3 linked regions of the Arabidopsis thaliana genome follow. The protein of the gene in region 3 interacts with the protein of the main gene of each other region in a biochemical or structural test. Each region holds a gene or a part of one and is shown on either strand. Other genes may lie near its edges. The genes, in order: CUL4, LHY and DET1.

Region 1 (3,754 bases), on a different chromosome or scaffold from region 3:
GACTACGACAAACTAAAATTGGATAATATGCAAGCCAACACAAGAATAATAGGAGATTGGAACCTTTTCAAGAACAACAAGTATATGACGTTCGAGAAGTTGCCTTTCAACAGTTGTGATCAATGGTTTCCTGGTTACTGCATCTATGTAGAGTATGCATCTCTCATTCTCTTCATGCAACCTTCCCTGCACCAATCACCAGTAGAAACCTTAGAAAGACTATTAACCTGTAGTGCAGCTAATCATAAGGAAACTATATGAAGTCATGCAAGGCACCTCAACATGCTTCAGGTACTCCGGAACGTCAGACTGCTGCATGTATTTCATTCCTTCAGCGGCATAAAATTCAGAGGTCCCTTCAAGGAAAGGTTTCTCAAAGCTTTCCATATAAATTCCCAGTGCAGTAAACATCTTCAAAAGATGGCTTAGTAGAGTCCTATTAACAGCTTCTGCTAACCTGCAGGACCAATATCATGCAAGAAAGTTCAGCAGATTCAGATGAAAACATTATCCAATATATAAATGACATACACTAGTCCTGATTTGCCTTGAAATTTTACCTATAACAAGTTATCACTGCTAGACAGGAATAGTTCATAGACCATCCAAACTTACCATATTCACTCAAAAGCCAGAAAAATAAGTTGAGGTAAAGTGGCTTTATGAAATTATATTCTCAATGTGATAAATCAACCCTCGTTTAATTTTGGAAGACCAGAAGGTTAAAAATTTACCTTTCTTTTTCAATCATACTTAAGAGACCTTTAACCGTCCTCTGCTCAACTTCAGGGGCCAGAGAAAGATGCTTCCGGAAAAGCTGCAAACCCATCTCCCATAATGAACGTACATTTGGATTCTGTATCACATACTTCCTATCCAGAGTCAAGGCTATACTACGAATCATGAGCATCTGGTCACAAAAGTCTTGCCAGCATTTCTCAACACGTGACAAGAAAACAGTCAGATCAGTGTTCTGCCCAACTAAAGATTGCAAAGCTGCAGAGATGTGTTCTTCACACTCCTTCTCAATCTGGTCATAAAGCTTTCCATCCAACTTATGCAAGCAAAGGTTATCAACAGCCTGAAAAAACAATCACAATCTCATCAGCACGACATTTACACATACGAATAAGAAAGGAAGTAAGTAAATTTGCACGTAACCTAACCTGGTAAAGGCTCTCGAGGTCAAACGAAATTTTTTTTTTGAGGAATATAGCTCTGATAGCTGACTGCAACTTCTCCCATGTATTCTCCTCAAAGTTTGTTGGTAGAGTTGGTTTGGCTTCACATATATAATACAAATGGTACAATCAGAACCCTAATTATGAAAACACTTTTATCTTCAATTTGCTAGCCAGTCACAGTAAAGATGATTCTCAAGATGTTTTCTAATGGCACAAATTAGGTTTGGTGAGAGCTAAGCCAACTAGATTGTGCACAACAAAGATTCCGGATCTTAAGTACCTAGATCAGGCTAGACAAAGAGATTCCAACTTAGAAGAAATACAAAAACCCAAATCACTCATTCACATCAAAATTCAACAGTCACACTCAATTTTCCACTGTAATTTAACATCAAAACTCACACAAAACTTCCATCAATCGCAAGCCAATGAAAACCCTAAAAATCACGAACCTTAACAATTGTATCATTTCAAATCAATCCAGAGCATCAATTGCACAGTAGAGTAAAAGACCCAAATCAAATCCTAAGATTACGATCAAAATCGTAAAGATGAAAGAAATCGAAATCGAGCGAAACCTTTATTGAGCTTGATTACAAACTTCTTAGTAGGTTGCGGAAGTGTAGCTTTCTTCCGAGAGAGATTAGCGGCGGCGGGAGTTGGATCTTCCTCCATATGAAAGCCAACAACCTTGTCGGCGGTATTAGGGTGTTGAGGGGAATGGTGGAGGTCGTTTTTGGCCTTTTTCATCGGAGGAGAAGAGTAAGAAGAGTCGTCGGAGGCAGAAGCGGCGGAGAAAGTAGAGCGTTTGGTAGGAAGAGACATGAAAATGGGTGAAAATTGTGTGAGAGAATCACGAAGAGGAAGAAGAAGACATCAATCCTAAATAATAACAACCCTTTCTCTCTACCAAAAGCGCACTGTGCACTCTCTCTCTTTTTTTTTTTGCTCAAACCTACGCGAAAACTCGCGATTTAGACCCGACCCGAGAAATGAAGATTTTTTGTTTATTTATATACTCTGAATAAAATCAGAATTATTTTATTTATACATTCATAAATCATAATTACTATATGATAAAAAAAATATTATTGATAAAAATAGACATATACCGCAATGATTAGATGTGCGTTGTTTTAATGGTTACTAATCACAAAAGTGAAAAACAAAAAAATAAAAAATAATAATCAATTGTTGCCTGTTTTGTATGGTTATTTTTTATAACTACTTTTAAATTTTAACTACTTTTTATTTTTAGTTTTTGACAACTGATAAATCATATCTATTGTATATTTTTAGAGTCGAATTTTTATTAAGTCATTTTACGATTTAAAGAATAAAGAATCGATCACACGAGTCGATGCTTGATATTTAGATCATTTTTGATATATATTTTTATTTTTATTTTAAAGAAAATTGAGTTGATTTTTTTTCCATATATTTCTTTTATTTTTTAAAAAAAACTATTTTAAAAGAATATATTAGAATAAAATGCCTATAAAATAGACTCACCTATAACGTGGAGAATGGAGATAAAAATAGAGATGATTAAATACTTTTAGCAGTCGGTAATTTCAGGCAGAAAATTGTGTGATGTTAAAAGACATGAACGAAGAATCATCACTTGACAATATGAATAAATATAATATGATCGATGTCATGGATTAGCCAATGTGGGGCGTGTTGACTTGCTGCTCCACAGGGTTTTTGGACTTCCGGTTTAGGGTTTGGTTCTGATTACAAAATATGGGCTTATCAAATTATTTACAGGAGTTAATACTTTGGGCCTGATTACAAAGGTTTAACCGAAGCCTATCAAGCAGATAAGAGACGAGATGAGATTGTTAGAGCATCTCCATCGGCAAAAGTGGTAGAGAGTATCTCAAAAAGTAAATAAATTAATATTTTAATCAAATTAATATATTTTAATTAGTTTGAAGTAAATGAACTATTAATTGAATGACAACTCTCAATAAATGCTGAGAATAGTCTCTCTTGCCAGTTTCTCCACTTTTCTCTTCTTCTCTCATACTTTTTCTCTTTTTAATTATTATTTAATTGATGAGTATCTCAATCAGATATTCCGATGGAGATGGTCTTACAAGTGTTACCGAGACGTACCAATTGGCGAACTCATATAACTTGTGCTGTTGTGCGAATGTGTTTTGATTAGTGAGGGTTCTTGGGCCAAAAAACATGGCTGGTTTTTAAGTCGCAATTGCAAGGATGAATATTATTACAGCCACAGCCTCAACGACTGCATGGTCTTAAAACTTTTTATTACATGTTGATTAGCCTATGGAATTGTATAATTACTAATACAAAATGGTGTTCATTACATTCTCACCTCGCTTAAACTTACTAATAATTTTTTTTTATTTCTTTAATCCCTCATTAACATGTCAACACATTTATTTTTTCTTTATTCATGTTTCAAGACTATAGAATTTCTCAATTAATCCCAATTGATACTAATAATAGCAAATTGTAAGTCTCTTGGATCGTTGGATCAATATTTTCACATGCAAACATGTGAAAATGAGGAGTTATTGAAAAATTGTAAGCTTGAC
Region 2 (3,754 bases), on a different chromosome or scaffold from region 3:
TAGAGATGATAGAGTTACTTCATGTCCTGTCCTATAGGGCAAGGAGGTTTGGTTTCCATATGGATGGCTAAAAGAATTCATGCAATCCCATTATTTCATCGACTTTAGTGAATATGGGACAATTGTGTCATCCAAATGCAACGCTAGTTATGTTAATTTGGACCTATCTTATGGTCTCAGAGAAGAAAGCTCTCTGTAGAGTTTTTTCTAACAGTAAGTTTGGACAGACCAATCTAATGTTAAGTTTAGTTGAACAGAGTAAATGAAAAAGATAAAAAACGATCGAGATGCAATCCTCGGAACCAACCAACTCTACTTAGCAAAACACACTCTACTTAGACGCCTAATTTCTAGTTGAAGCAATTAGAGAAAAGGAAGAATAAGAAGAACCTTCTATCATCTTTTCCAGACAGTGACAGGCAACTTCTAAACATAGTCATAGATCGATATGAAAAAATGGTACCTTTACACAAGATAACGAAAGTGTTTTAAAAAGATCTGAAAGGATCATCAACTTACCTTTGTGAAGAACTTTTGTGCATGACTTCTGATCTGAACAGCAGTCTTTGTCCCAATATGTTCTGCACACAAAATGAAAAGAAAAGAAGGAATCTCCCAATCAAGAGGAGATAAAGACACTCCTAAACAAAGGAATATAAAATCTCAAAGAGTTCAAACTAAACATTCAAAAGATAAACTTTCGACCTTCAATTCGTTGCCAAGCTCTTCCATAAAGCCTCAAGGCTTCTAGAAACCTCTCATGCTCATCCTCAGTCCATCGCTCTCGCTGCTTTGTTATTGTATATGGCTTTCTTGCCTAAACATTTGAAAACCCAAAAGAAAATCAAATCTTCACACAACAACAGTCCAAATCTCTCAAACAAAAAAACACCAATCTTATTTCATTAGTAGTAGTACCTTAGCTAATAATTCTTCTCCAGATGTATTAGTATCCATAACAGGACCGGTGCAGCTATTCGCTGCTTCAAATCCTCTCTAACAAGTAAAGTATAAAAAAGAAACCATCTTTGATCTCCCCAAACATGAAAGTTTTCAAATTGCAAAGCCGTTGTGATAACCTCTTTAGATTCTAGAGAAACTGCAAAGGAGAAAGTACTTTATGAGAAATATTTATCCACAAACACTAAGATAAGAGTGATGAGCGAAATTCAAAAGAGAAATCTTTTCAAAGTCCACCGTGAAACAGTCGCTGCTTCTCCAGCAGAACTCAAAAGAATTCCCTTTATTATTATTCACAAAAGCCTCACCCAAACGAATCCACCGCAGCCAAAACCTTCACAAATCTTCATATCAGTAATCAATCACCAGATTCGTATCATTTATGCTAACTTTTAGAGCTAATAAGATTTAGTTAATCGCTTCTATAAGTTTCTCAGCAGCCAAACAGAGATCTTAGTATGTTATAGGAATCCTAGAAACTGCTCATAATGTAAACTGTTATACCCTTGAGAGTAGCCATGGAGGAGACAAGTATGCAATCTGACTTATCATCTCACCGGGAACTCCCCGGAGAAGTCATCGTTCCCGGAAATAATCAAATCGGAAGCAAAACAAAAAAAAATCTCTAAAAATAAATTTAAAAAACAGAGAGAAGAAGGAAGAAGATAACTGAAGAAGAAGAAGAAGAAGAAGAAGAAGAAGAAGAAGGAAGACTGTTTTAGGCTGAAGAAGACTGGAAGAAGAAGAAGAGAAGCCAGAAGCAATCTCAGCCACAACAATTTTTCCCCTAATTTTTGGAAAAATTTTAATTGAAAAGTTTATTTGAGGCTGGAACAGCACCAAGGGTATAAATGGAAAAAACAGAAGTCATCGCAGATCGACACGTGGTGATATTGTAGTGGCTGTCTACTGCACTTTTTGGTATATCTCAAGTTGCTTCTCTACGAGCCAGAAGCTTCAATGTGAAGCTCACGTAGGTAAAAGTGAGTGTGGTGGTCCACAATTGCTTACGTGTAAACGATTATTGGTACAAACTTGGACGACTAAACAAGTGGGTACGGTGCCAGCTGTGATGGTGTACTGCTACGTATTGGCTATGCTGGATCTGGGCTTGTAATAAGACATTGTATGGGCCTCACTTTTACGCCTATTCTATATAAATTTGCGTATTAACATAGTTGAATTAAACCCGACAAGCTTGGACTGCTCGGGGAACTTGCGTCTGTATAAAAATCTTCATCTTTTCATATAATATCATGCAATGCCTATACAAAATTTCAACAAATTATCATCGAGAACTTTGGTCAACTTGCTTATATAACATTTGTAGAAATTAAGGAACATTAATTACTCTTAAGTCTTAACCGAAGCATGTAGTATTTATTTATGGAATTCAGCAAACATCATTACACTCATTTTTTTAGATTCCAGCTTACAACTGTGTTTTGCTTAAAGCAGAAGCGTTTAACATAGTTATAGATACTCTAATGTTGGAGCAGAGCTTAGTTGCAATATTTTTTGAAGTTGACGGCCTCATCGGTCAGGAAGCCACTACAAAAGGTTACCGAGAACTTTGGTTAGTTCGGTTCGGTTCTAGGTTAACCAAAAAACAATAGACCAGTTTTTGTTACTAACCGAAGAACTGAACTACCCGAATCTAATTGAAATAACCGAAATTATTCCAAAATAACCAAACAAACCGGATTTAAATATTTCACAAATCTCTACGTTGATGTTTGGAATTATAAAATTTTATCTCTCATTACCTCTCCTTAAACATTAACTAGGACATAACAGTTATTTGAAACATACATTAACAACAATATAATTAAATTAAACGGGCGACTTAGAGTCGTTATCCTTATTAGGAGTAGTATATTGAGCTTCGTTATCCATTCCTGAAGACAATGCAGTTGATGATTCCGTTTCTTTGTTCTTCCCCCACAAGAACATGTAGAGACCCGTTATGGTCACTAGTGATCCAATCACACTGTAGACCAAAAGTTTTAATGTTGTAATTAGTGTTATGCCTAGACAAAATTAATTTGATAGAGATTATCGAAGAAGATACCTTCCAAGGTATAAAGGAGTGTGTAAAATGAGGAAATCAAATAGAGTAGCCGAAATGAGAGTAAGTGGGAAAAACGCCGATGCGAACACAGCTCCTAATTTTTTAATCCCCCATGTTGTTGCAACCGTCGTCATTGCTTGTCCTACCACTCCCTATAATATATGATAAAAAAAAACCACATAAAAAAACCCACATTAATATCTTAAGTTCTTACATACTAATCTTATAATTTTTAAAAAGTTAATTTATAAAGATATGATGTTTGTAACTTACAGCGTATATGATGACGGTGATAACGAATCTATCATCTATGATCCAATCATTAACGTCTCTGCTCTTGTAAAGGCTCAAGAGAGCACATTGAAATGCCGCGAAAATTGACATAAGACAAGTGCTCGAGTATTTGCAAGGGTACTTAATACTTAAAGTCCCTTGAAACAACATCCATAGAGATAGCAACACTGTTCCTATGGTTAAATAAAGACATCCAAGAAGCCAATTATTGGCCTTGTCTTGATCGTTGTTGTTGTGGGAAGCCCCACCGTGAGAGTGAGAGTGAGAGTTTGATATTTGTGGGCCTTTGTAAAATGTTAAGAACAAAGCTCCACTTATACAGATCAAAGTTCCAATCACCTTCAACATTCCTGCTTTGGTCTTTAGAATCTTCACATTTTCAGTCCTAAAAAAAGTAAAATTTTAATGATTATTTTGAAACAAGTTATT
Region 3 (3,754 bases):
CTGAACCTGGACATCAAGAATACACAAAAGATTAGTTTTTTTCACCATCAAATCCAAACACTTGACACAGATTCCAAAAGCAGAAACACATAATTGATTACCTTCCATATAATCAAGTCGACATAATCCTGGAAATGGAAATAAAACTTCTTCTTAAGACTTTGAACTCTCTGTCAAATCAAATAGTGCCTTTCGATTAGTTCGTATCCAAGATGTAGTGTTTCAATACGACACACATTGCAAACTACAACGAAAGGTCGAAAATGCAAAGAGCATGTATATGATAAGCTGCATCAACTAAGAAGTCACTGTCAACTGCATCAATCCTAAACCTTAAACTTCTGTTATCCTACTCAACATCTAACAGAGGAAGCCAAGCAGTACACAAACATAACCCATTTAATGTACAAGATTGTGAAACTCAGAGCAATTTCATAAAGTGATAAGAGAAGTTGAAGAACAACGAACCATTACGTTATCTGATTCTTCATTCCAAATCTCCCTGAAGATAAAAGAAAGTAACCGTTGCTTAACACCACTAAGAAACGAATTCGAACCACTTGGCTGACTTAGACTATGACGCAACCCATTCTCTCCAGTATCATCTTCCTTACTCCCAGATAAACTCTGCTGTTTACTCTTATCTTGACTCATCATTGCCTAACAATCAAAAACCTCACAAAGCTCAAAACTTTATCTACTCCAGAGAAAGATACTGTAAAAACTTTGCTTACCTGAGAGCTAGAATTGAGGAAAAGCTCATCATCTTCACGACAAAAGTAACCAATAGCACGAGCATCAACAAGATGACCAGAATCTCTAATCTGAAGAAGATGAATCCTCTGATAACGCAACGACAAAATCGCTAAAAGATCATCATAAAGAAACACACCCATATTATGAGCCAGATTAACGAAATCATGAAGAAAAACCCTCTCATCAAGAACAACACCATCATCTAATCGAAGAAGTACGAAAGTAATCTTATCAATGGAAGGAACACCAGGAACAGCGTCATTAGAAGGAGATGATGAATCATGGATCTGAGCTGTTGAAGTAGCGAAAAGACCGAAACGACGAGTTTGGTGATAGAGGAAGAAGTCTTTGCAGATGAGTTCGTTAGAAGAAGCGAGATTGACTGAGTAGAGTTGAGTGAAAAAGCTGTCGAATTTCGAAGCACGGCGAGGTAGAGGAGGTAGGGTGGTTGTGGAATCATCGGTTGTGGAGTAAGTGAGCCAAGAAGGACGATAGACTATGAGTTCTTGATGGTTACGGCTGAAACTAATGAGGAAGAGTCCGTCTTCTGTGAATTTGCGGAAACAGTGATCGGGAGATTCGACATCGTAGAGTGTGTAGCTTGGGACTAGGTTTTCGTAGAAGTGTCTTGCACGATTTACCTATCATTGAAGGTAAAGAGATAAGCAAAAGAGAGATTGAGATTGAGAGATTGAGACAGAGAGAGAGATTTGGGGACTGACGGAAGCGCCGGGAGGAGGAGTTCGAATCTGACGTTCGAAGACCCGAGCGGTGACGTTACCGCTTGTGAACATTTGTTGGCCCAGAAGGGCACGAATAAAGGAAGGTTTTTGGTCTGGTTTTAGTGGTGAAAATGGAGGAGACGATGTGAGTGAGAGAGAGAGAGAGAGAGATACTGTGGCTTTGTTTTGGTTCTGTTGATTTTTCTCTTTTGGGAGGTTGGTTTCTCTCAATCTGTTAATGGGCCTGATATTGGTGTTTGAAAATGGCCCAATAGTTGCAAAATTGGGTCATTGGCACTTATCGGTACTACTTCCTCTTTGTACAATTTCTCTTGTTGTATTGCTTTGCTTAGTCGGAGCTTAAGTATGGACATTCACATTTTGGATCGGATTTTGGATCGGATTCGGTTCGGATTTTCGGATTCAGATGGGAAAGTTTATTATCCGGTCGGGTTTTATGACTATTCGGTTTGGTTTCGGTTCGGATAGTGTCGGATTCGGATCGGTTTTTGAGAAAAAAAAATATATATTGTTCCGTTTTAATAAAATTGGTTTAATTTTGCAAAAAAAATTGTATAATTGTAACAAATATAACTTAAAAATTCGGACGTATAAACCTGTAACTAATATTTTTGTTATTTAGAAATTTTTGGGTATAAACCTGTAACTAATATTTTTAGATAGATATAATTTTATTTCGGATTAGCGGATATTTATTCGGTTTTTGATTCGGAATCGGATTCGGCTGAAGTAATTTGGGTAGGTGAATTCATTATCCGTTCGGATTTTGTGACTGTTCAGTTCGGTTTCGGAACTTTTTTCGGATCGGTTCCTATCTACCTACCATTTTTTACTTCCCATTTTGTTGATCGGTAACAACAAGAACTGCAGTGGCAATACACTTGTTGGAACGAATCATACAATCAATACACTTGTTGGTAAAGCCTTATGCATCTCAAAGCCAGCTTCTTTGCTAGTGAGGGCCTTACTTAGGGAACTTGAAAGAGGATTGAGTTTGAAGTTGAAGCTCAAACAATTTAAATCATATAAAGATGGACGTTACTGTATCGTGAAGTCACAAAGAACACTGAACAGAATCTAGAATCCGACTGTACATATTTCAAAGCTGTGACTAAAGCAATACATAAGCCAAATTATAACTTAAGAATGCTTCACATTACAATCAACATATTTTTTGCCTATTGGAATGCACAAGGGAATGTAAAGAATCGACTCTGTTTATCCGATTTTCTGTCTGCACAATCACGAACGTGTACACTCGATACCCCGACATATAGCCAACCAAATACCAAACAGTGTCAAGCAAATAGCTGCATCAATAGCAAGAACAATCTGAACTAACCGCCGCCATTTCCATTCAAAGCTTTGAGTAACAGAACGTCCACTACTCGACACACACTCCTTCTCCAACGACGTTCCAGCTCCCGCTGAATCATCGGTTATGTTCCCTCTATCATTAGACTTCCTGTGTTCCTCAAGCTCAATCACATGATCTTTCCCTTTCTTCTTCTCTTGCTTACTTAACCTCCCCAACAACGGAGCTTTAGTAGAATTCGAACCTTCGCTTTGTTCACCAAGATTACTACTCTTCAATTCATTGTTACTACTACTCTCAGCAACACGTTCAAGAGAAGCTATAAGTCTAGTAACAACAGGAACAAGCTGATCTTCAACATTAATAGAACCAATCATAGCAGTAAAACTTCCTCTAGAATTCTCCCTAGCAGCTTTCTTAAATTCATCTCTCAAATGTTCAAGAAACTTAAGAACACTAGATCTCTTCAAAACCTCATCAACAATGGCGAAATAAACAAACCCATCTCCAATTAAAAACCCAAATCTTCTTTTACCAATAGTTTCAAAGTACCAAGTATGAAAAGGAGGAGACTTTTCTAAACACAGAGCAGCAAGACTCTCGTTGGTTTGGTCTCCACCGTTGTAAGAGTAAAGAATCTGATTGTCTCTTGAGACACAACAGTAATGAACTGTGTTCTTGATTAAACCCATCTTTTTTTTTGTTTTTTTAAGAAATCAAATTGAGACAGAAGAGGAAAGAAGAGAAGTCTGTGATTAGAGCAAAGAAGAAGAGAGAAATTGAGATGATGGAGTCAGAGAGAAAGTCAAAGAGAAGAAGAAAGTACCAACAAAATCCTTCGGCGATGTCTTCAAAATCGAGGATGAATTCTCTCATTCCTCTTCTTCTTCTCTCTAGGGTTCTTGGGTCATGTGTGAGCTTTTTGTTTGAGATGTTTATC

Evidence for each region.
Region 1: the proteins of DET1 (region 3) and CUL4 form a complex in vitro, tested with the Arabidopsis thaliana proteins (one study listed by BioGRID).
Region 2: the proteins of DET1 (region 3) and LHY form a complex in vitro, tested with the Arabidopsis thaliana proteins (one study listed by BioGRID).

The regions. Positions count from the first base shown.
Region 1 is NC_003076.8:18,734,645-18,738,398, forward strand, and holds the start of CUL4 (cullin4), read right to left. Parts: upstream 2,172-3,754; 5' UTR 2,010-2,171; coding exon 1,763-2,009; intron 1,283-1,762; coding exon 1,167-1,282; intron 1,082-1,166; coding exon 735-1,081; intron 458-734; coding exon 277-457; intron 187-276; coding exon 64-186; intron 1-63. UniProt on the Arabidopsis thaliana protein: Component of the CUL4-RBX1-CDD (COP10-DDB1a-DET1) E3 ubiquitin-protein ligase complex which mediates the ubiquitination and subsequent proteasomal degradation of target proteins. Participates in the CDD complex to light-mediated control of development.
Region 2 is NC_003070.9:36,105-39,858, forward strand, and holds the start of LHY (Homeodomain-like superfamily protein), read right to left. Parts: upstream 1,654-3,754; 5' UTR 1,465-1,653; exon of another isoform or gene 1,295-1,464; 5' UTR 1,269-1,294; exon of another isoform or gene 1,100-1,268; 5' UTR 958-1,099; coding exon 919-957; intron 818-918; coding exon 706-817; intron 582-705; coding exon 520-581; intron 68-519; coding exon of another isoform or gene 1-67. Other genes in the region: UMAMIT28 (nodulin MtN21 /EamA-like transporter family protein), read right to left, coding at 2,794-2,950, 3,032-3,183, 3,305-3,710. UniProt on the Arabidopsis thaliana protein: Transcription factor involved in the circadian clock. Binds to the promoter region of APRR1/TOC1 and TCP21/CHE to repress their transcription. Represses both CCA1 and itself.
Region 3 is NC_003075.7:6,344,339-6,348,092, reverse strand, and holds the start of DET1 (light-mediated development protein 1 / deetiolated1 (DET1)), read right to left. Parts: upstream 1,683-3,754; 5' UTR 1,551-1,682; coding exon 1,479-1,550; intron 1,398-1,478; coding exon 735-1,397; intron 661-734; coding exon 469-660; intron 171-468; coding exon 102-170; intron 7-101; coding exon 1-6. Other genes in the region: AT4G10170 (SNARE-like superfamily protein), read right to left, coding at 2,742-3,506. UniProt on the Arabidopsis thaliana protein: Component of light signal transduction machinery. Involved in repression of photomorphogenesis in darkness by participating in the CDD complex, a complex probably required to regulate the activity of ubiquitin conjugating enzymes (E2s).